3 linked regions of the Caenorhabditis elegans genome follow. The protein of the gene in region 2 purifies or fractionates together with the protein of the main gene of each other region. This does not show direct contact. Each region holds a gene or a part of one and is shown on either strand. Other genes may lie near its edges.

Region 1 (7,832 bases), 180 kb from region 2:
GCTCATAGAATCATCAAAATGTACACAGAAACTTATCCAGGATTGGATGCAGTCTTATTCATGTTAGACGAATGGGCACGGATTTCAAATCTATTTGAAAATCAATCACTTCGAGAATATCATTTATCACTGCTATTTATCCTGTTTGCTACAAGGCAATTTTCTTCCGTTGATGGAAATGCTGCCAAGTTCTTCAATAAGGTCGATGAGAAAAGTTACAAGCAGAGTAAAACAATTGGAGACTTTGAGCCCAGTTTATATATTGAGGAAAAAGGAAAAAGTCAGATGGTGAGAAGAATATTTGTGTTATTTTTTTTATAATAATGACTGTTTTCAGATGGTGAAGTTTCTCGAATTTTTGGCCTCGCGAAAGTTCCGAAAAATGGCGAATCTCTCATTCTGTGCTCTTGATTTCTCATCAATTTTCATGCGAGGAGAATGGCAAATTTTCCATTTGGCCGCACTCAAAACCTACTACAACGTGTTATTCAATTTACGATTCGAAGAACTTCCTGTGTCAACTGATCCAACAACTACAGTTCGTTCAATAATTCGAGAAAACGAACCGTTCGTGATTGAATTACCAGCCAATTGTGATCGTTCATTGGTTCATCGCAAGCTGGTAGAGCATACTGGTGTAAAAGAGATATTCATGCGAAACATGGAGAAATCAGTTCGCTCTTCGGATGATGTGCAAAAAATCAATAGTGAGTTAACAAAATCGAATGGTAAACAGATTTAATTTTCAAATTATTATAGTGCGTCTTCTGGTTTCTACACGTGGAACTCTCGAGTCAATGTACAAGTTGCGTCAACTGGTTGCTGTAAAAGTTCCCATCAAAACGTACGTAACGGGACAAGATGTGTCTACACAGATGGCTCGATTGTGCTATGAAAAGATTGTCAGAGGACACATCAACATCTAGAATGTTTCTCTTATTCGTTTTTAGCAGTGTTTTCAGAGATTTTAAATGTTTAATATGGTTTTCATTTTAAATTTTATTTTTCTGTTTTTTTTTTGCATGTTTTAATTGGCATGCTTATTTCTGTTTCTTTTTCTCATTATATTTTCCTGTTGTTTCTTTTGCTGATTGATTGAAATGGATAGGTTTCTCCTTCTTTTCATCGTTTTCAGCGTTTCGGTTATCTGTTTCAATGAATTGTCTGTTTTATTACGAATCCGATATTTGTATTTTATTTGTTATATGCGTTTTTTCGTACATGATTTTCCTATTGGATAGAATATAGCCAGATTTCTTGAAAAATTGAAATGCTGTCGATTTTGTTTGAATTTTGGACCAAACTATCGAACTTTTTTCCTTCTCGACTGAAATCAACATTTTTGAAATGCAGTTGTTTTTGATCAGAAAAATTTTAAAACATTTTAAATATACAACTTTTTAAAGGTGCTCAATTTTCCGAGATGAAATTAAATTTCTTTATTATTAGAAAATAGTTTTAAATGAGTTTCCGTAAATAAAATTACGGAATAATAATCACGATACTTGCTCACTGTTGCATTGTCACCACAGTGTCTTTTTCAGCTGTCTGCGTCTCCGACGGGCAGCGTCTTTTTCAGTGAACCGATTTTTGCATTTCAGCGGGTTGTTAACTTTCAAAAAATGTTTTTGTAAATTTCAAAGTGAAGGTTAATGAGAACCTAATTTATAGTTATTTTTAGTTGTATAACAGTAAAAATTTAAATATCCAATTGATCGATGGCAAATTTAAAAAATCTTTATTTTTGTTTGTCTTCCATAAAACCTTGTTTTTCGTGCGTTGGCCATTAAAATTTATCTGTATAAAATTTTTCAGACTCCTCGTCATGTCGGAACGAAGTCATGGATTCATTAAATTTGAATTTCCGGAATTCGATAACTCGCTTCAAGTCATCGAAGGAAGTATCGATACAATGTTACTGACATTTACTTCAGTGCGTCATGGTTTTGAGAATTTTAATTCATTTTTTGGACATTTTTCGATTAAAAAAATGACGCTTGTTTTAATAATTATTATGATATTTCTAGGTTCTTCGTAAATACGAAATCGAAATCAAATCCCGTCAAGAAACTCAAATTGTTGAAGAACAGGACTGCGATTGCTTCTTTGAAATAAACTTTGAAGTTGAGAGCGAACAGTTTGATCACACAATTATAGATGCTATGCACGATTATTTATCAGATTTGGTGAGTACTTGAATTCATATTGGACGATTTCGAATTAATTTTATTTTCAGAATGTGTACGTTCCGTATCAGCGGCCTAACATTGTCCTTCATGGTTCCGATTTTTGGTTGAGAACTCTCGATTGTCACACAGAGATTCCACTTGCTGCGATTTATTTTGGAAATATACAAGGAGGCACATATTTCAATCATTGGCAGGTTTCATTTTCACGCGAAAACATATCGTCAAGAGATATGTTGCATAAGATACACGCCGAATTTGAATTCGATAAAACTGATATGATAACAGTACAATTTCAATGTTTCGAGGAGAAGAAACAGAAGTTTGAGGATTCGAGGAAACAAAAAGTTCGAGTGAACTATCAATTAACAGTAAGTGTTTAGCTGTAGCTATCAAATCCAATACTGGGAGAATTTCTTAAAATTTAATTAAATTCAAAAATTCAGATTCGAAGGGATTCAATTCGTCGAATTATTGTCGATCCACGAGTTGAAGGATGCAACACATGTGTTCATTTTGAAGTTAATTGTCCCCCACTCATCAGGAAAGGATATATTGATAATGATAAGGTAATTTAATATTGATCACAGATTTTTATAACAATTCTAATTGTTTAGTCATCGTTTCATAAACCCTTCTATGAGCGTCAGAAACGGTTCGATTGTGATTGGAGAAATGGAAATGTTAATCATGGTAATCCACAAGATGCTGCCATCGCAGATAGTCCTTTCTTCACAATTGAGTTCCATAAAGAAATATCAGTGAGCTATTTTCTACTGTTTTATGATAGATTTTGATGATTAAGCATCGTTTTTTATTATTATTATTCTCTAATTCAGACAAAAGAAATGTATCGTGTGTTGTCTCGTCTGAGGTCTCGAACCAAAGTTCTGATTGAATTTGCGAATCTTCCGAGCATTGATGTTCCGATGGGCAGTCACTATCCATACAACCGGTGGAATTTGAAGAAATCGCCGACCGACTCAAATGCGCCCATTTTTAGAGAGTTTCTGAAAGAGGTGAGTTAGTCTTTAAAAAAACAAAGAATTGCCTCAATAATCTGAGTATCAATTTTTGCAGATATTCCCACCGAAATATGAAATAGTAGATGATAAATTGATTGATGTTAATGAGGAACGGAAGTTTTCTATCACATATTTGATTGAATGTCTGTTGTCACGGGGAGCTATTGTGAAAGATCAACTACTACTGAATGAGCAACATTGGAAAAATTTCCTGGAAATTATCATTTGGTACTACAGGAATGATAATCAACTGTGTGAAGCTGCCTTGGAAGATCTCGTTCATTTAATTGATGGTAGAAAGCGAATCGGATCAATTTTGAAGGTTGTGTTTTTTGCATATTTTTTGATAATTTTTTTAAAAATTTTTCAGTGCCTAGATAAAATTTGCCAAAAACGTGAGGTTATGAAACTGGTTAATGGTTTAACAGAAAAGGAGAGCATAGAAGGATATCAACGAGTTCGAAAAGTTATCTTCACACCTACGAGAGTCATCTACATTGCACCAGAGACGATCATGGGAAATCGAGTTCTACGGAAATTCGATAAAGATGGCACCCGGGTGCTTAGAGTAACATTTCGAGATGATAATAATAAGAAAATGAGATCAAATGTTACGGGTAAACTTCTCGACAGGACGGCGAACAAGTATTTGGAGCACGGAGTTCGAATTGCAAATCGTGAATATGGTTTCTTGGGATGCTCAAATTCACAAATGAGAGACAATGGAGCATATTTCATGATGAGATTCACAGACAAGCAGCTTGATCGCTTCTACAAATGTAATCCGACAGCATCGAATATAAACTTCAAGCCGAAAATCGACGAAGTTCGATTTCAATTAGGAAGATTCTCGGAAATTGAAAATGTTCCTAAGTTGATGGCGAGATTGGGTCAATGCTTCACTCAGAGCAGGGTATGTTTTTAATTTTTATTCAGTTTCATGGATTTTTTAGTGATAACTTTCCATCATAATACAAGTATGAATTTCAGCTAACCGGTGTCGGACTTGGACGAGATGATTACTGTAGCACGTACGATTTGACTGGTGGACGAGCGACAAACGGAAGCGAGTATACATTTTCTGACGGAGTTGGAATGATGAGCTATCAATTTGCACAGGAAGTATCCCAAGCGATGCAATTTGGAAAAGCTGTTCCTAGCTGCTTCCAGGTAAATTAATTTCGTGTGAACTTAGGTAACTATAGTTTTTGCAGATTCGATTCCGCGGAAATAAAGGAGTCATCGCTATTGAACCCTTTCTGGATGAAATTCGTAAATGGGCACTTGTGAACGGTGTTACTTCGATGAAAATGGCGAAATGTTTGTTCCGTCCAAGTCAAATTAAATTCCAAGCTAAGGCTATTTCGGGAGACCAAATCGAAATGGTAAAGTTCTCGTCAGCGGTATTGGTTGCTCTCAATAAACCATTCATCAATATTCTTGATCAAGTTTCCGAAATGCAATCGTTGGATTGTCATAAAAGAATTACGAGCAGAATTGAGGAATTGATGGATCGTCAGATCTTGTCATTTGCCAAACAGATGAATGAGGAGACCTTTTGTAGAAACAAATTAAAGGTTTGTCTGAAACATGAAATAATGAAACTTTTTATTTGGAACTCTTTCAGGAGTTTCCACGTCGTATTGATATTGATAACTTGAGAACAATGTGGGGATTTACATTGTCTAGTGAGCCATTCTTCCGTTCCCTAATCAAGGCATCCATCAAGTTCTCAATCAGTGAGTTTTCCGAATTGTTTTCAATTTCTCAATTTTATTATTTTCAGCGAAACAGCTTTGCAAAGAGCAAATTCAAATTCCCAGTGAACTTGGTCGATCTATGCTCGGAGTAGTTGATGAAACTGGACGTTTACAATACGGACAAATCTTCGTTCAATACACGAAAAATTACAAGAAAAAACTTCCACCGCGAGATTCCAACAATAAAGTTCATGGAAGTGAGATTGTCACAGGAACCGTTTTGCTCACTAAAAACCCTTGTATTGTCCCCGGAGATGTTCGGATTTTCGAGGCTGTCGATATTCCAGAACTTCATCACATGTGTGATGTAGTAGTATTCCCACAACATGGACCGAGGCCTCATCCTGATGAAATGGCTGGATCCGATTTGGATGGAGATGAATATTCTGTTATTTGGGATCAGGAATTACTTCTTGAAAGAAATGAAGAACCTTTCGATTTTGCTGTTGAAAAGATTAAAGTACCATATGATAGAGAGAAGCTTGTTAGTTTTTTTTTGTTCATTTTTTTTTTAAACTTTGGTGTAATATCAAATTTAGGACGTCTTGATGCGTGAGTTTTATGTCACATATCTGAAATTAGACTCCGTTGGACAAATCTCGAACAGTCATCTTCACAATTCTGACCAATATGGGCTGAATTCGAGAGTTTGTATGGATTTGGCAAAGAAGAATTGCCAAGCTGTTGATTTCACAAAGTCTGGACAACCACCAGATCCATTGGAAACGAAATGGAGGGCCGGTACGTATGCGTATTCATGAATATGGTGTAACTACCTATTTTCAGATCCCGTAACATTCGAAGTTATCCCTCCTGAAAATCCTGAGCGAATTCCTGACTTTCATATGGGAAATGAACGAAGTCCGATGTATGTCAGTCCAAGGCTTTGTGGAAAACTATTCCGAGAGTTTCAAGCAATTGACAATGTTATCAAGATCTCTGAAGAAAGGGATGAACAATATAATATTGAACTGGATGAGACTATCTTTGTTACTGGTTTTGAGAGATATATGGAAAGTGCTCAAAAACAATTATCCAGTTACAACGGACAACTCAGGGTTAGTTTGAAGGCTGAGTAAAGTTTAAATACCCAAATTTTACAGTCTATTATGGAAAACTACGGTATCCGGTCGGAAGGTGAAATCATGTCAGGATGCATTGTCGAAATGAGAAATCGAATTTCGGATAAAGACCAAGATGATATGTCATTCTACAACACTAATCAAATGATTGAAACAAAAATGACATCTTTAGTGTGCAAATTCAGAGAAACGTTCTTCGAGGTACAGTTTATTTCAATATTTATTTATTTTTTAATTTCTATGCCATTATCAGGAATTTGGTGGATTCACAGTAAAATGTACACTTTTACCAAATGCTTACGATAACGGCAACTGTCTCAATTACCGTTGCGAAGATCCAGATCAGGAGGTCAGAAAGAAAGCTGTTGCCTGGTATCGAGCTTGTTACGGTAATTCAATTTTTTTGTTTCAATTTTTTGAACTATTGTAATTTCTTTGTAGAGTGTGCTCAATCCACGAGAGAAGTTCGGAAGCTTTCATTTGCTTGGATTGCATATGACGTCATTGCCAAAGTCAAGGAGACTAATGTATTGAATAACGAAAGAATGCAGATTGGTGGAGCAAATCCCATGTACACTTTCCTAGAAGAGCATCGAAAACAATATTTGATTGATCACGATGCGGATTTCAAGAACTTCTGTGAACTCGATCATCTAATTACCGGTGAAAAATCAAAAGAAGCGATTTCCATTCTGAAAATATATCTGGAGATGATACCAGGGTTGGACTCTGTGTTCTTCATGTTAATGCGATGGGGAGAATCATTACGATTGTTTGATGGAAAACCAATCAAGATTTATCACTTTTTCCTCATGTTCATTCTTTTTGCAACACGACAATTGGCATCTGCTGATGGAAATGCAGAACCGTTTTTCAAAATAATTGAAAAAGAAGAATATGAGAAACAGAAAAGAGATTCATCGAGAGGCAATATCGATCCACTTACTGAAAAAAAAAGATCAGATATGGTAAGGAATAAGGGGGTCATCGAACATCGTCGATTTTTCGATTTCTTCGAAAAAGTATGAAAAAAGAAGAGAAACCTTTGAATTTTGTCTATAAACATCTATATTTTGATAACAAAAATAAAAAATTCATTGAAATATATAGAGAAATTATAGGAAATTGTAGAAAAGTTGAAATTTTACCGAATATAAAACAAAAAAAACTTGAATTTTCGATTCATCAAAGTTGACATAAGTCCATTCAGCTGTATGATTTGTAGTCCAACATTGGCGAGAAATTCAAAGCCGAATTGTGTATTTTTTTCAGATGGTCAAATTCTTCCAATTTATGGGATGTCGGAAGTTCAGAAAAATGTCGACTTTATCCTTTTGTCCTCTCAACTTCTCATCGATTTTTATGCGTGGAGAATGGCGAATATTCCATGAATCAGCTCTCAAAACCTACTACAATATTCTGTTTAATCTACGTTTTGAAGAGCTTCCAGTATCATCTGATCCAACAATTACAGCTGAGACGATGGATCGAGAGTGTGAACCATTTGTTATCGAGTTACCCGGTATGTAAAATCTTTTGGAAATAAAAAAAATTGAGTTTTTTTTCATTTAGAAAATATAAATGTGAATGATCTGATCAATAATATGAAGAAACACACAAATGTTTCAACTGTAAAGATGCGGCGACAGGAGAAAAATCCGATAAACGATAAGGCGAAACCAAAGACTACAGGTAATTAAAAACTCTTCATATTGGTAGCATAAAATAATTGTTTTCAGTTCGTTACATCGTCTCCGTCTCCGGAACTCTCGAATCAAT
Region 2 (7,761 bases):
CGGATAATAAGAAAATCGATCCTCGTCGTCAATTGAAAGATGATCATGACGGTCAGAATCGTTTCATGTATGCTACAAAATTGGGTGATATTGCTGCAATTAAACGATTCCTTTTGATGGGACATGATATTCATTGCAAAGATTATGATGATCGAACAGTTTTACACGTGGCTGCTGCTGAAGGAGACGTTGTCACATTGGAATACGTATTGAGTAAATGGCAAGAGGATCCGAATCCATGTGATAGATATGATAGAACTCCATTGGATGATGCTAAACATTTTAATCATACTGCTTGTGTTAAGCTGCTAGAAGAGGCAATTACGGTTTACAATCTTAAAGGACAAGATGATTAGGAATAGATGTTCTAGAAATTGATTTAAATTAATAAATCATTCCATTTTTTGTCATTTGTTAATTTACAGTCAAATTGTTGGAAGAAAAATTGAAAGATCAATTAAAAAAATAAAACTAAATAGAGCTTTATATTATTCAAGAGATCGAATGAAAATTGCTCGGTAAATAGAACACGATGAATGATATTAAAATAACAAAAAAGATTAAGAAAAATTGAATTCTCGTACAAGTTGGAAATCCTTGAGATGATCATTGAGCTTCTGGTGCAACTCCCTTCGTTGGTGGTTCTTGTTGAATATGGCTGAAAATGAAAGCATTATTATGATAATAGAGAGTTTATCCGTATTTTTTGAGCTTCGAAAGTGTTAAACAGAAAAGGAATCACAATCCAGAGCACACTTACAATCTCTTCATCTCGAGTTGCTTATTGTGTTGTCGTGAGTCCAAATCAAGAACAATCTTCTTTTCGATATTTTCTTCAGTATCGGAGAGCGCATTCAACATGATTCTCTGTAAATTCGTACAATTTTTAAATAATCAAGTGACCAAAATCTTACAAAGTCATCCTCGATTGCTTCTGAAATATAAAACAGATCCTGTTCCACATCCGACCATTTTGCTTTTGTCATCGAGGAATAGTCTGATTCTTGAACAAATGTCAACGCCTTGACACTGAGTTGCGGCAAATAGGTTCCTCTGTAGAAATGTTGTTTTATAAGAAACGACTTTTAAATAAATTAAATTTCAATTACCTTATTTTGTAAGCTCTTCCAACATCCAACTTGCAATGGAAGCATTTGATATCACTGAGTGGTTGATTGTCCTCACTCAAGTACTTACTCACCTTTCGCTTCTGAAAAAATTCAATTTTTCACAATCACAAATTGCGTTTCTATGATAAACAGAAGTCGGCTTAGCTGAAAAAAACATTTACTTGAAACATCTGGAAATTGCACAAAAATAGCCTGAAAGTCAATTGTCGGAAAGCAAAGTTCGGAAATTCAGCAATTTGATAATCGGCAATTCGACACTTCCAGGTAATTTTTAAGCACTTTATAAATGTTTCAACCTGAATAAGTTAATTTCAGATGAATAAAGCGATTTTTTTACTTTAAAACGATTTTTTAGTGACAGAAATTTTTTTAATTGTCTTTTTTTTTGAGAAATTTTAGGTTTCGGTTTTTTGGGAAAATGGTTTTACAGCCCTGGTCTACGAGTATAATCTTACAAAATTCATTAAAATTATATTTTCGACAAGCCGGCTCCGGTTTTTGAGCATTCATCAAACGTACCGATTCAACATGCAAAAATCTCCATACACTTGGATCGAACACCATGTAATTCGAGAACACTTTTTTGATATAAATACTCTTGCAGAACTCTTTTGAACAATTGCTGCACATCAATTTATAAATCTTATTCTCATGTCGTAATCTCAAATTGAGTTGCTCTTCCAGATTTCGTTTCCTTTCAGCCGCATTTAGTTCAGCGACTCGTTTCACTTCTGCAGCCAATTGTTTCTCGCCATTCTCTGTGATCTTCTTCACACAAAGTCTCATATACTTTTCAGAGATTAACGCGTTAGTCTCGGTTTCATTGATACTACTCTTCACTGATAAAAGCACAGAACGAGAGTTTTTGGCACGTGCACGACCTCTTTGTTGAACAAGTTGAATGGCTGATCCTGATGAACAGTTGTACTTGATAATAAGATTACATGCAGTAACATCGAGACCTTCTTCAACAACTGACGTTGCCACAATTACTTTAAGTCTTCCATTGTTGAATTTATCAAGTGTCAATTGTTGTTCTTGTGAAGTCTGCTGTACAGCGCCCTGTTTGTTTGTTCCGAGAACATATCCAACCATTTGTTCACCATAATTACCAAATTGATCTAAAACTTTAGATTCGTTCAAGAAATCACTGACACGTTGAGCGGTGCTTCTTTGTGTTACGAAAATAATAACTCGAGATTCAGGAGCCACGTGGAACTGATTGGTGAGTGTATTCTTGAGACGTAGAACAATTTCTGGTTCAACGGATTGAATTGTTTGTTTCAAAGTATCATGGTCTTTGATGAAGGTGCTGTATTCGACTGTCTCTGAATGACTTTCATTCAATTTCCCAATAGCTTTTTCCATGTATTTGAATGCAACCATCGCAGGCATCAGATCAACGATTCCGCGAGCTTCGAGATATACCTAAATCATTTCATTTACAAGAATCTTTGAAAATGAATCAAACCTTCATGTATTTCGCCCAAGTTTGAGAATTCCATTTCTCAGGAACATTCAATTTGTTCAACTCTTGAATAATACCTTGAAGTAATGAATCGTAGTACTCATAATTCTTCGGTTGATTCTTTTTAAACGTGTTAATCATATTCGGTGGGATAGTGTTGTTGCGGCCAGTTGATTTAGACATGCTTGCTAATTCTTCGAGAAATTTGCCATGGGCGTGGTTAAGGTATCGTTCGATGTAATCTCGAAGGATATTTTCTTTGGCAGGCAAGCATAGTTCGACAGCTGAGAAGAATTTTTTTGAAATAATTCTCTCATGAAATTTCATATTCCGAAGAGAAAACAAGTAATTGGTTATTTTTGGAATAGAGTAAATGAGGAATTTACTTTGAAATTGCCGGATTAGCTTGAAGTTAAACAATACCATGAGAAATAAGGGAAAACAAAGGAAATTTCAATACCGTGGTTTTGATTCTAAAGTGGGTTTTCAGCTTCCGAAGGTTTTTTTTTTCAATTCCTGTTTACAACACTTCATTTAGAAACCATTTTTCATTTTACAAGAACAATTTACAATTTTCAAATTTTTTTGAACTGTGTAAACTTGAAAATAAATATTTTTATAATTTGATACACCTAGAAATTTATCTTATTTGTATTTTAAAATTTATTTATGGTTTTTAAGAAAAAAAAAACTAAATTTCCAACTTGAGAACAAACTTACAATCATCTGGTTTTCCAACATGCTCATTGAGCTCATCTATGCTCGATTGGCGAGTGATTGTACTCAAATGTGGAGCGTTGATCAATGCGAGCATATTATAAATATCATTAAGCATCTGATTCTCGTCTTTTTGTCCATCAACTTTGACACTCAATGAAGCTGTCAGACCAATGATTTGTGGTTTTTCATACTTCCATTCTTGAACCATTTGATTAATCAACACATATGGATGATTTTTTGCAGCTTTATGTACTTCATCGAAGATCATCATTGAGAAATCACTCACATACAAACGCTCATTTTGACGTACCGATTGAAGCATGTTGCTGAAATAATTAGTTCGGGTATTATAAAAACCAGAGCTCGATCCGAAAAAATTAAACATTTTATATATCTTGATTAAAATTGCACTCTTTTTATAATTTATAATTTTTTTTGAAAAAAAAAAGTAAAATAAAAAATTAATGAGTTATATCAGAAATTTTCGATTCAGAATTTAATGAACCTGATTCCATTAACTCACATCAGAATTTGAGGAGTCATAACTGATACATGAGTAGCAATTACTTCATCACGACGTCCTGTTCCACTGACACTGCTCTCGGATCCATGAAAACCATTAACTTCGTACATTCCGTTACAATACTTCAGGAATCTGTCTTTTTGTTGACCGACAAGCGGGATTTTCGGCACAAGGAGCACAACCTGGAAAATAAAATTTTATTGCTTCTATATCAAGGGGAAATAATATTAGAACTTGACGAGAAAATTAAAAAAAAAACATACTCTGGAAGGCTTTCCTTGGGATGTTCGTTCTTCAATATGTTTGAGAGCCGCATAAATTGCCACTTCTGTTTTACCAGAACCAGTCGGAGCAACAATAACACAATTCTTTCCTTCGAGAGCCGGTTGGACAAGTTCTTCTTGATAAGTACGCAATACAAGTTCAGTAACCACCGCATCTGGATCTGGAAAAAGGAAAATTTGCACTAAATGTTGGAAATATAATCTTACTGTAGCCGCTGTCTTTCGGTTGTGGACGTATTGTCGTGCAAACATCCTCGCCGACAGCTTCCTCGTTAGTCCGCTGACTTTTCAGTAGGGTAAGGCGGATACGGTCACGTTCTTTCTCTCGTTCTTCTGAAAATTGATTTAGTTAAGCCTAGATTGTAAATCGAAATTCGTAAAATACATCAAATAGCATGAGATGGCCGAATAATAAAAAGTTAGGCATTATTTAAAATTGTATTAAAATAATTTCAGTATTTTGAAATCTGAAGTACAAAATGTTTGCCGCTATTTAATTTCCAAACAAAAAAAAACTTACCAAGCTCTTCTGGCCAGTTCTTATCCAAAAAGTAGAGAGCCGCTCGATTAGCTGGATCATTCTTCATTGCATCAATAAATCCGTAATACCACTCTTCGTGTTCATTTTTCTCTTTTTTGTCATTCGATTTGAATCCGATGATTGCGAGAAACATGGTGAGAGTCTTATGAAGACTCCATTTCTTCACAGCATATTTTTTCTCTTCTCCATTCTCGATTTTCAGCTCGAACGCTGGTCCTTCGGTTAGCAAATCTTCGACCAAATCAGTTGATAGTTGATGATTACCTTTGTTAAATACTTCAAAAGCGAGAATTGTAGTTTCACTAACACAACGTGGATTCGATTTCAGATGCTTCATAATAATCATTCCACGTGCAGCTCCAGCCACTCTATCAAGCTTCTGATATCCAAATGGATTATTGGTAACTTCCTCTTCATCGTAGAATTTATTTTTGAAAGTCTCAGCAGTTAACCAGCCATCAGGAAGATCTTCCCAGTGTGAGTATCCATAAAGTTCTTTATCGTCTGAATTTTACAGTTCAAAACGTTTGAAATTTCACGATTACTTACAGTTAAACATCACTTCGTCAGCAATTCTGAGTCCCTTCTCATCGAACAAAACAGTGTTCAAAAAACATTCCGAGAATCTTCTCTGAAATAAAAATTATTTTATTAAATGTTTTTCAAAAGTGTTTTTACCCTTTGAACTTTCTGCTGATGTGCGTGACGCAATGTAACGTATGTTTCTGCCTGTTTTCTGATTTTAACGTCGAGACTGAAAAATTGGTATTTAAAAAAAATATGGCACGAAAATTCCAGACACCATAATACTTTTTTTTGACCTTTTAAGCTTCTGTGACTCGAAAACTCACGATATTTAAACTTTTTATAAAAATTTAAGTCATTAAAACAATTTTATGTTTTCAAAACTCCGTTTCGACATCCTTGCCGTCACAGATATAGATAACACCGAAGAAATTGTTTTCGTTGGAACGTTTTTCTAATACATGATTTCTCTGTCGTCTTACTCGGCATTTCTGATTTTAATCATGTCCGGGTCATGAGAAACTGGAGTTGGCTCGTCAATGATCATTCTGGCAATTTCTTCCAATTTTCCTGGCGGGAACAGCGATTCAAATAGTTTGAAATATCCGATATCGTTGTTTCGTGTACTCTCCACGCATACATCAAGGAATTTCCATCTAAAATAATATTTAATTATTTGATCGAGTGCAAGGGGGGAAATGTATAATTTTCTTACTTGAGAAGACGAAAATACGCTGGAAAATATGGAGACTCAAACGGAAGGCGAAGCTTCGATTTGTCGTAATCTTCTAAACGTATTGCAGTTGGTTGCATTATCGAAAATATCTGTAGGAAATTATTAAATTAAATTTTGCCGACAAAACGACAAAAAGACATGTTGTTCAAACTGGCGCACAAAATATAAACAAGTGTGGCAGAGGTTTTCACATTAATGATTTTCTCTTCCTCTTGCCAATGATAAAAAGTTAAGAGGGAAATACATGAATGAACAGAAAACCATTATTAGTGTTAAAGAAGGGCAAGTAGTGTCAGGAAGGGAAGTTTTGGTTTCAGTATTCAATATTTAACGATGAGCAACGGCGGAATCAATAAAATTAGTATTTAAATTCTACAACATAAATAAATGTTTTGGCTCTTCAACCTTGTGAGAAAATAAAATCATAATATTTAAAACAAGAATAAAACTTTCATTAAAACTGCAAATTCACGGGAACCGGTGATGGAAATACGAGCAGCTGCCAACAGAAAATGAAGAAAAGAAAAGGAAATTTGAAAGATAGAACAGAAAATAAAATTCTTTCGGCAGGTTGTTGGGATGAATTTCAGCTGATGAATGGCAAATTAATACGAATAACTGGATGAAAAGAAAACATCGAAAATAACATTTTACAACGTTAAAACGAATCGTTGATGCACTTTTAAGCGTCTGGCTTTAGAAGTTCAGCGGAGTTCCTGGCAGCTTCAGCAGCACGGTCGGCGCGTTCTGAAAGAAAATAAGAGAAATGCTTTTTTTCGATATTTAATAAATTATCCATATGAAAAATTGTTAAATTCTTTCTTTACTCAAAAATCGAGTTTTAAGCGGTTTTTTGTAGGATTAATTTTCTAGCCATGAATAAAATACCTTTTTTCACAAAACGCTGCCTTTCGATCTCAATGCGCCATTCGAGAGGAAGTCGAAACCATTCTTCCACAGGATGTTGAGCAGTGAATGCTTCATCGGAGAGAGGATCATCTGGATCCACGTCCACATAGATACTTTTCGACGTCTCTTTCATATTGTCCAATGTAGAGTTTGAACAACTTAGTGATGGATTTTTAGAAATATTTTTATTTTCTGAAATTGCGAAGGTTGTTAAACTTGTCAACTTTTCTTGTAAAACGAACTTTTAGAGGCTAAGTATTTTTGGAGGAACTCTTTTGGCAACCGTTGGAAAATGTAATTCGGGTAGAACTTGGCGAAATTTCCTGTGTTCTCGTACTCCTTCAAGCACTCCTCTACGGTCATTGTTGGCTGAGAATAATGCTGAGAATGATTCTTTCGGGACCCACTTGATTTATTTTTTTTGTTGCCCATCTGGAAGATGAATATCAGCATAAAATAGGACACGGGTAGGGCTGCAAAACCTCGGTAAAGTTAACGTGTTAAACAATAAAAAGTAATACTAATATGAAAAGTGTCATAACATGTAGTGCATATTTCTGGTTAAAACCAATATTGGATAACAATAAAAACCTATAGAACAAAACTTTAAAGCGTTTATTAGAAAACACGAACAACGATACTATAGCTCTATAGAGAAAATTTTAAAGGGAAATGAAATAATCTTAACAAAAAAAAAAAGAAAAAAAGTTCGTCACTTGAGCATTTTCAAAATTTTTGAATAAAACTGTTGAACTCATCACGATGATGAATGCATTTGTGATATGTTACAAGTATTGCACGAAGATTACATCTGGAAAATAAACTCAGTTATTGGAATTATTTAACGGCATTTCTAAAAAAATAAATTACCTTGTTCGAGTAGCCGTGTTTTTCGCGTAGCCGATAAATTTCATTGATTACTGGC
Region 3 (4,732 bases), on a different chromosome or scaffold from region 2:
TAAATATAATTAAACAATCAGGAAATAGCTTACTTCAAATATTCTCTGATAACTCCACAAACTTTATGCATAACCACGCAACTATTGTCCATTTCACGAAGAGATTCTACGCACGCCGCATAAGCTTTCAAAATGTCTTTTGTATCAACCGCTGAAATTTTAAATATTTAAGTTTTAAATAATTCCCCTCACCAACTTACATGCAACAAGAAGTTTTGTGTTAACTTGATCTATCAAGTAATTTGTGAAATCGACTCTCCCATGATTATTAGTTCTCAAAAGGCAATATTTCATTGTGATGAGACTGCGAAATTTTACTGGAAAATCTACGGCGATCATTTCATATGCCTACAAAAAATATTTTTTAGGTTCCAAATTTTTTTAAAAACTCACGTTTTTGGAAAGCATTTGGAAGACATCTTTGTAAATAGTGTCACTAATTAAATGGAATGCGTCTTGCATTGTTACTTGATCTGACCAAATCCTCAGACTCTCCATAATTTCTTGAAACATTGAACATCTCAGCTCATTGTCAAAAGCCGCTTTCTCGTGCATCACCAATGTTGCAGCAAGCTCGCGAATATACACTGAAAGTGCTGCGTTCATGTGACGATTTGCATTGAGAATTCCAGTTTTTCTGAAAATGTTATATATAATTTAGGAAGTCAGGCTTTACCCACAATTCATTGACAAAAGGATTAAAATCTTGAACATATTGCCCGCATATTTCTTTTTTTTCTGGTGTCCACAGCTCTTGGTTTAAATCGATTCCATGATCGATTTTTCGATGAGGAAGGTACATGGCAACTGAAAAATGTTATTGGAAACTGGGGCTGAATGAAAAAAAAATACGTCTGTAATTAGTGAAGTGCGACATAAAATAAGGTCTGAGAACTTTGATAACAACTTTCTGCATGGCCAGTGGGAAGATGAGCTCTGCAGCATCGCGAATATCCGGTTGACCAACGCCTTTTTCCAATGCAAACTGAAATTATTTTCCATTAGCTTGTTACACCTCTATTTTCTGACCGTTTTCCATAAGGAGAAGATTTTTCAGAGCATTTAATTGAGAATAAGGCTAATTTGTTCTTGATTGGATTTAAAAATTTTAAAACTCACCATCAGGCATTCTTGCTGTACTCGTTGCAGAACTGTCGTCATATCATAAACTTTTTCAATATTTTTTGCGTATTTTGCGTGATATATCAGAGCATCCCAGACTTCTTTTTTCTTTGAGACGCAAAATTGTCTGAAAACTGTCTTTACGGAACTCATTTTCAAAAATTCCATACCTGTACTTCATCGCAGCCTCTTTCGAAGTAGTCATTCTGTCAAAAATGGACATTTTCGAAATGGTTAAAATAATTTCAGCAAGGATACGAGAAGAGAACGATGACAAATGTGTGAGAAACTGTATATATTAAAGGATCATGCTTAAAACGAAGGTTGGGGTCTCGGAAACTACATTTCCACAAAAACCGCGAATAAATGTTCCTTTAAAAATTATACGAAAAAATGTTTGTTTCTTTTTTTTCACACGATTTTTCAGAGTATTTTCTTTCAAATTTCTGTCGATTCCACTTTTCCTCCGTCTTTTGAATGTTCCCATGAAAGAGACATAGACATTGGTTCAGTAGAGCGCATACTACGGGGCAGTCAGCGGCAATTATTTTTTATTGTAATTTTTGAACATTATCAATTTTCCCTGTTTTCAGACCAATAATGGTCAGGGTAAGAGCTGATTTACAATGTTTTAACCCCAGGGACTACCAGGTAATTTTTAAGTAGCAAAATAAATTAAAAATAATCGATTTTCAGGTGGAACTTTTGGATAAAGCGACAAAAAAGAACACAATCGTCCAACTAGGCACTGGTTCAGGAAAAACTTTCATTGCAGTTCTACTGCTGAAAGAATATGGAGTTCAATTGTTTGCACCATTGGATCAGGGTGGAAAACGAGCGTTTTTTGTTGTAGAGAAAGGTAATTTCGTCTATTAAAAATAAGCCAGCTGGCCAGTAAAGTGAATAATTGACAAAAAAAAACAAGATTTATTCTAAAACATCATTTTTTCCAGTAAACCTCGTTGAACAACAAGCTATCCACATCGAAGTTCACACAAGTTTCAAAGTTGGTCAGGTCCACGGACAGACAAGTAGTGGTTTATGGGACAGCAAAGAACAATGTGATCAGTTCATGAAGAGGCACCATGTGAGTGAGAATACGAAGCTGAACTATCGAGCATATATATTTCAGGTTGTTGTGATCACAGCTCAATGCCTTCTTGATTTGATTCGACATGCGTACTTGAAAATTGAAGACATGTGTGTTCTGATCTTTGACGAATGTCATCATGCTCTCGGTTCTCAACATCCATACAGAAGCATCATGGTCGATTATAAGTTATTGAAAAAGGGTAAGTATTGAGGAATTAATGGTGAAACTTCGAATTCGCTTCAAAATACGGAAATATTTTTTCAGACAAACCCGTCCCACGTGTATTAGGACTCACAGCCAGTCTTATCAAAGCGAAAGTTGCGCCGGAAAAACTAATGGAACAGTTAAAAAAGTTGGAATCTGCGATGGACAGTGTTATAGAGACAGCTAGTGATTTAGTCTCGGTATGATTTAAAAAAGACAAACAAAGACTTGTTTCCAATAAAACTAATTTAGCTCTCGAAATACGGTGCGAAACCCTATGAAGTTGTGATCATCTGCAAAGACTTTGAAATTGGGTGCCTGGGTATTCCGAATTTCGACACAGTTATAGAAATATTTGATGAAACTGTAGCCTTTGTGAACACCACAACAGAATTTCATCCAGATCTAGATTTGGATCCTCGTAGACCGATTAAAGATTCTCTCAAGACGACGCGAGCTGTTTTTCGTCAACTGGGACCTTGGGCGGCATGGCGAACGGCTCAAGTTTGGGAGAAAGAGTTGGGAAAAATTATAAAATCTCAAGTGCTACCGGATAAGACGTTGCGGTTTTTGAATATGGCAAAAACATCTATGATTACGATTAAAAGATTGTTGGAACCGGAGGTGCGTACCTAACAAGAGACGTTGGAAAATGGTACCTCGAAGTATCGTTATGGTATAGCAATTTTTCGACAAAAAAGTGTTATCATTCGAAAAAGTTCGTAACTCCCTACTCACCAAGAGAGCTACAAATCTTGAGCAAGATTTCAAATTGTAAGATTGTAGCTCAATTCATGGCTTTTTGAGAATTATGGGCTGAAGCTTGAATGCTATATGTTTTTTAAAAACAATTTACGAATATTTGGAAACACTTTTTTTAAGTTGAAAGTTTTTTCAAAAGGGGTGAAACTGCTCGGACGCAGCTGAATTTTTGGAATGATCCTCAATAACACTTTTAATCTAAAATTACTATTCTATATTGAACTCCAAGTTAGCATTTTCCAACTTCCAGTGTAAGCAATCAACTATTAATTACACCAATTTTTTCCAATTTAGATGAAGAAAATCAAAAGTATTGAAGCTCTCCGTCCATATGTTCCTCAACGTGTCATACGTCTTTTCGAAATCCTAGAAACTTTCAACCCCGAATTTCAAAAAGAACGAATGAAGTTAGAAAAAGCAGAACATTTATCAGCCATTATTTTTGTCGATCAACGGTACATTGCATATTCGTTACTTGTAGGTTTATATGAATGTTACGGTAATATATTGTAAATTTTCAGCTTATGATGCGTCATATTAAATCATGGGAGCCTAAGTTCAAGTTTGTGAACCCGGATTACGTCGTTGGAGCCAGCGGACGAAATTTGGCGAGTTCGGATAGTCAAGGATTACATAAACGACAAACTGAAGTAAATTTATGTTTAAATTATCATTGTCTAAATATAATTTTTAGGTTCTTCGCCGTTTCCATCGAAATGAAATCAATTGTCTTATCGCTACATCAGTGCTTGAAGAAGGTGTAGATGTTAAACAATGTAATCTTGTGATTAAATTTGATCGACCACTTGACATGAGATCATACGTTCAGTCAAAGGGAAGAGCTCGGCGAGCTGGATCAAGATATGTTATCACTGTTGAGGAGAAAGATACTGCGGCGTGTGATAGTGATTTGAAAGATTTCCAGCAAATAGAAAAAGTAATATTGGAATCTTCAGTTCAATTGTTTAAAAAATGATATTAAGATTCTTCTTAGCCGCCATCGTACAGTCAACAATCCTATTGAAGATGATTCGGATAGATTTGAAGAATTTGATGTTGATTCTCAAATGGAACCATATGTTGTTGAAAAAACTGGTGCAACATTGAAAATGTCAACTGCTATCGCATTAATTAATAGGTATATTAATAATTTCACTTTAGAAGTTTAATCCAACAGCTAAATACAAACAATTGGTAATCTTCCAGATATTGTTCGAAGCTTCCTTCCGATATCTTCACTCGTCTTGTTCCACACAATCAAATCATTCCAATTGAAGAGAATGGAGTGACCAAATACTGTGCAGAGCTTCTTCTTCCAATTAACTCACCGATCAAACATGCAATTGTGCTCAAAAATCCAATGCCAAATAAGAAGACTGCACAGATGGCAGTTGCACTTGAAGCATGTCGACAATTACATTTAGAAGGAGAACTCGATGATAATTTACTTCCAAAAGGAAGAGAGTCGATTGCCAAATTATTAGAACATATTGATGAGGAGCCGGATGAGTATGCACCTGGAATTGCTGCTAAAGTTGGATCATCAAAACG

The links.
Region 1: the proteins of drh-3 (region 2) and rrf-1 purify together in Caenorhabditis elegans (affinity purification with western blotting; 2 studies listed by BioGRID). This does not show direct contact.
Region 3: the proteins of drh-3 (region 2) and dcr-1 purify together in Caenorhabditis elegans (affinity purification with mass spectrometry; 3 studies listed by BioGRID, with this or other methods). This does not show direct contact.

What each region holds. Positions count from the first base shown.
Region 1 is NC_003279.8:7,643,761-7,651,592, reverse strand, and holds the start of rrf-1 (RNA-directed RNA polymerase), read left to right. Parts: upstream 1-1,815; 5' UTR 1,816-1,825; coding exon 1,826-1,933; intron 1,934-2,027; coding exon 2,028-2,186; intron 2,187-2,236; coding exon 2,237-2,557; intron 2,558-2,632; coding exon 2,633-2,755; intron 2,756-2,803; coding exon 2,804-2,947; intron 2,948-3,025; coding exon 3,026-3,205; intron 3,206-3,266; coding exon 3,267-3,533; intron 3,534-3,581; coding exon 3,582-4,124; intron 4,125-4,201; coding exon 4,202-4,381; intron 4,382-4,425; coding exon 4,426-4,788; intron 4,789-4,838; coding exon 4,839-4,950; intron 4,951-4,997; coding exon 4,998-5,455; intron 5,456-5,510; coding exon 5,511-5,712; intron 5,713-5,757; coding exon 5,758-6,029; intron 6,030-6,074; coding exon 6,075-6,254; intron 6,255-6,306; coding exon 6,307-6,442; intron 6,443-6,494; coding exon 6,495-7,021; intron 7,022-7,325; coding exon 7,326-7,575; intron 7,576-7,625; coding exon 7,626-7,745; intron 7,746-7,792; and 1 more. Other genes in the region: ego-1 (RNA-directed RNA polymerase), read left to right, coding at 1-288, 338-707, 760-926.
Region 2 is NC_003279.8:7,819,086-7,826,846, reverse strand, and holds drh-3 (Helicase ATP-binding domain-containing protein), read right to left. Parts: upstream 6,017-7,761; 5' UTR 6,005-6,016; coding exon 5,907-6,004; intron 5,848-5,906; coding exon 5,674-5,847; intron 5,421-5,673; coding exon 5,345-5,420; intron 5,298-5,344; coding exon 5,216-5,297; intron 5,171-5,215; coding exon 4,646-5,170; intron 4,459-4,645; coding exon 4,333-4,458; intron 4,287-4,332; coding exon 4,105-4,286; intron 4,024-4,104; coding exon 3,842-4,023; intron 3,645-3,841; coding exon 3,319-3,644; intron 2,883-3,318; coding exon 2,602-2,882; intron 2,559-2,601; coding exon 1,650-2,558; intron 1,211-1,649; coding exon 1,110-1,210; intron 1,054-1,109; coding exon 915-1,053; intron 868-914; coding exon 761-867; intron 659-760; coding exon 607-658; 3' UTR 469-606; downstream 1-468. Other genes in the region: glna-3 (Putative glutaminase 3), read left to right, coding at 1-356; D2005.7 (NAM-associated domain-containing protein), read right to left, coding at 6,610-6,674, 6,816-7,028, 7,079-7,268; D2005.4 (TPR_REGION domain-containing protein), read right to left, coding at 7,642-7,647, 7,707-7,761.
Region 3 is NC_003281.10:8,077,265-8,081,996, reverse strand, and holds the start of dcr-1 (Death-promoting deoxyribonuclease), read left to right. Parts: upstream 1-1,715; 5' UTR 1,716-1,722; coding exon 1,723-1,773; intron 1,774-1,818; coding exon 1,819-1,981; intron 1,982-2,075; coding exon 2,076-2,209; intron 2,210-2,254; coding exon 2,255-2,414; intron 2,415-2,479; coding exon 2,480-2,619; intron 2,620-2,671; coding exon 2,672-3,043; intron 3,044-3,475; coding exon 3,476-3,658; intron 3,659-3,702; coding exon 3,703-3,831; intron 3,832-3,875; coding exon 3,876-4,118; intron 4,119-4,164; coding exon 4,165-4,319; intron 4,320-4,387; coding exon 4,388-4,732. Other genes in the region: apc-2 (Anaphase-promoting complex subunit 2), read right to left, coding at 34-151, 201-348, 394-637, 681-807, 853-985, 1,120-1,249, 1,293-1,345. UniProt on the Caenorhabditis elegans protein: Component of the ERI/DICER complex which is involved in processing amplified double-stranded RNA (dsRNA) intermediates during small-RNA-mediated gene-silencing or RNA interference (RNAi). Involved in cleaving dsRNA in the RNAi pathway.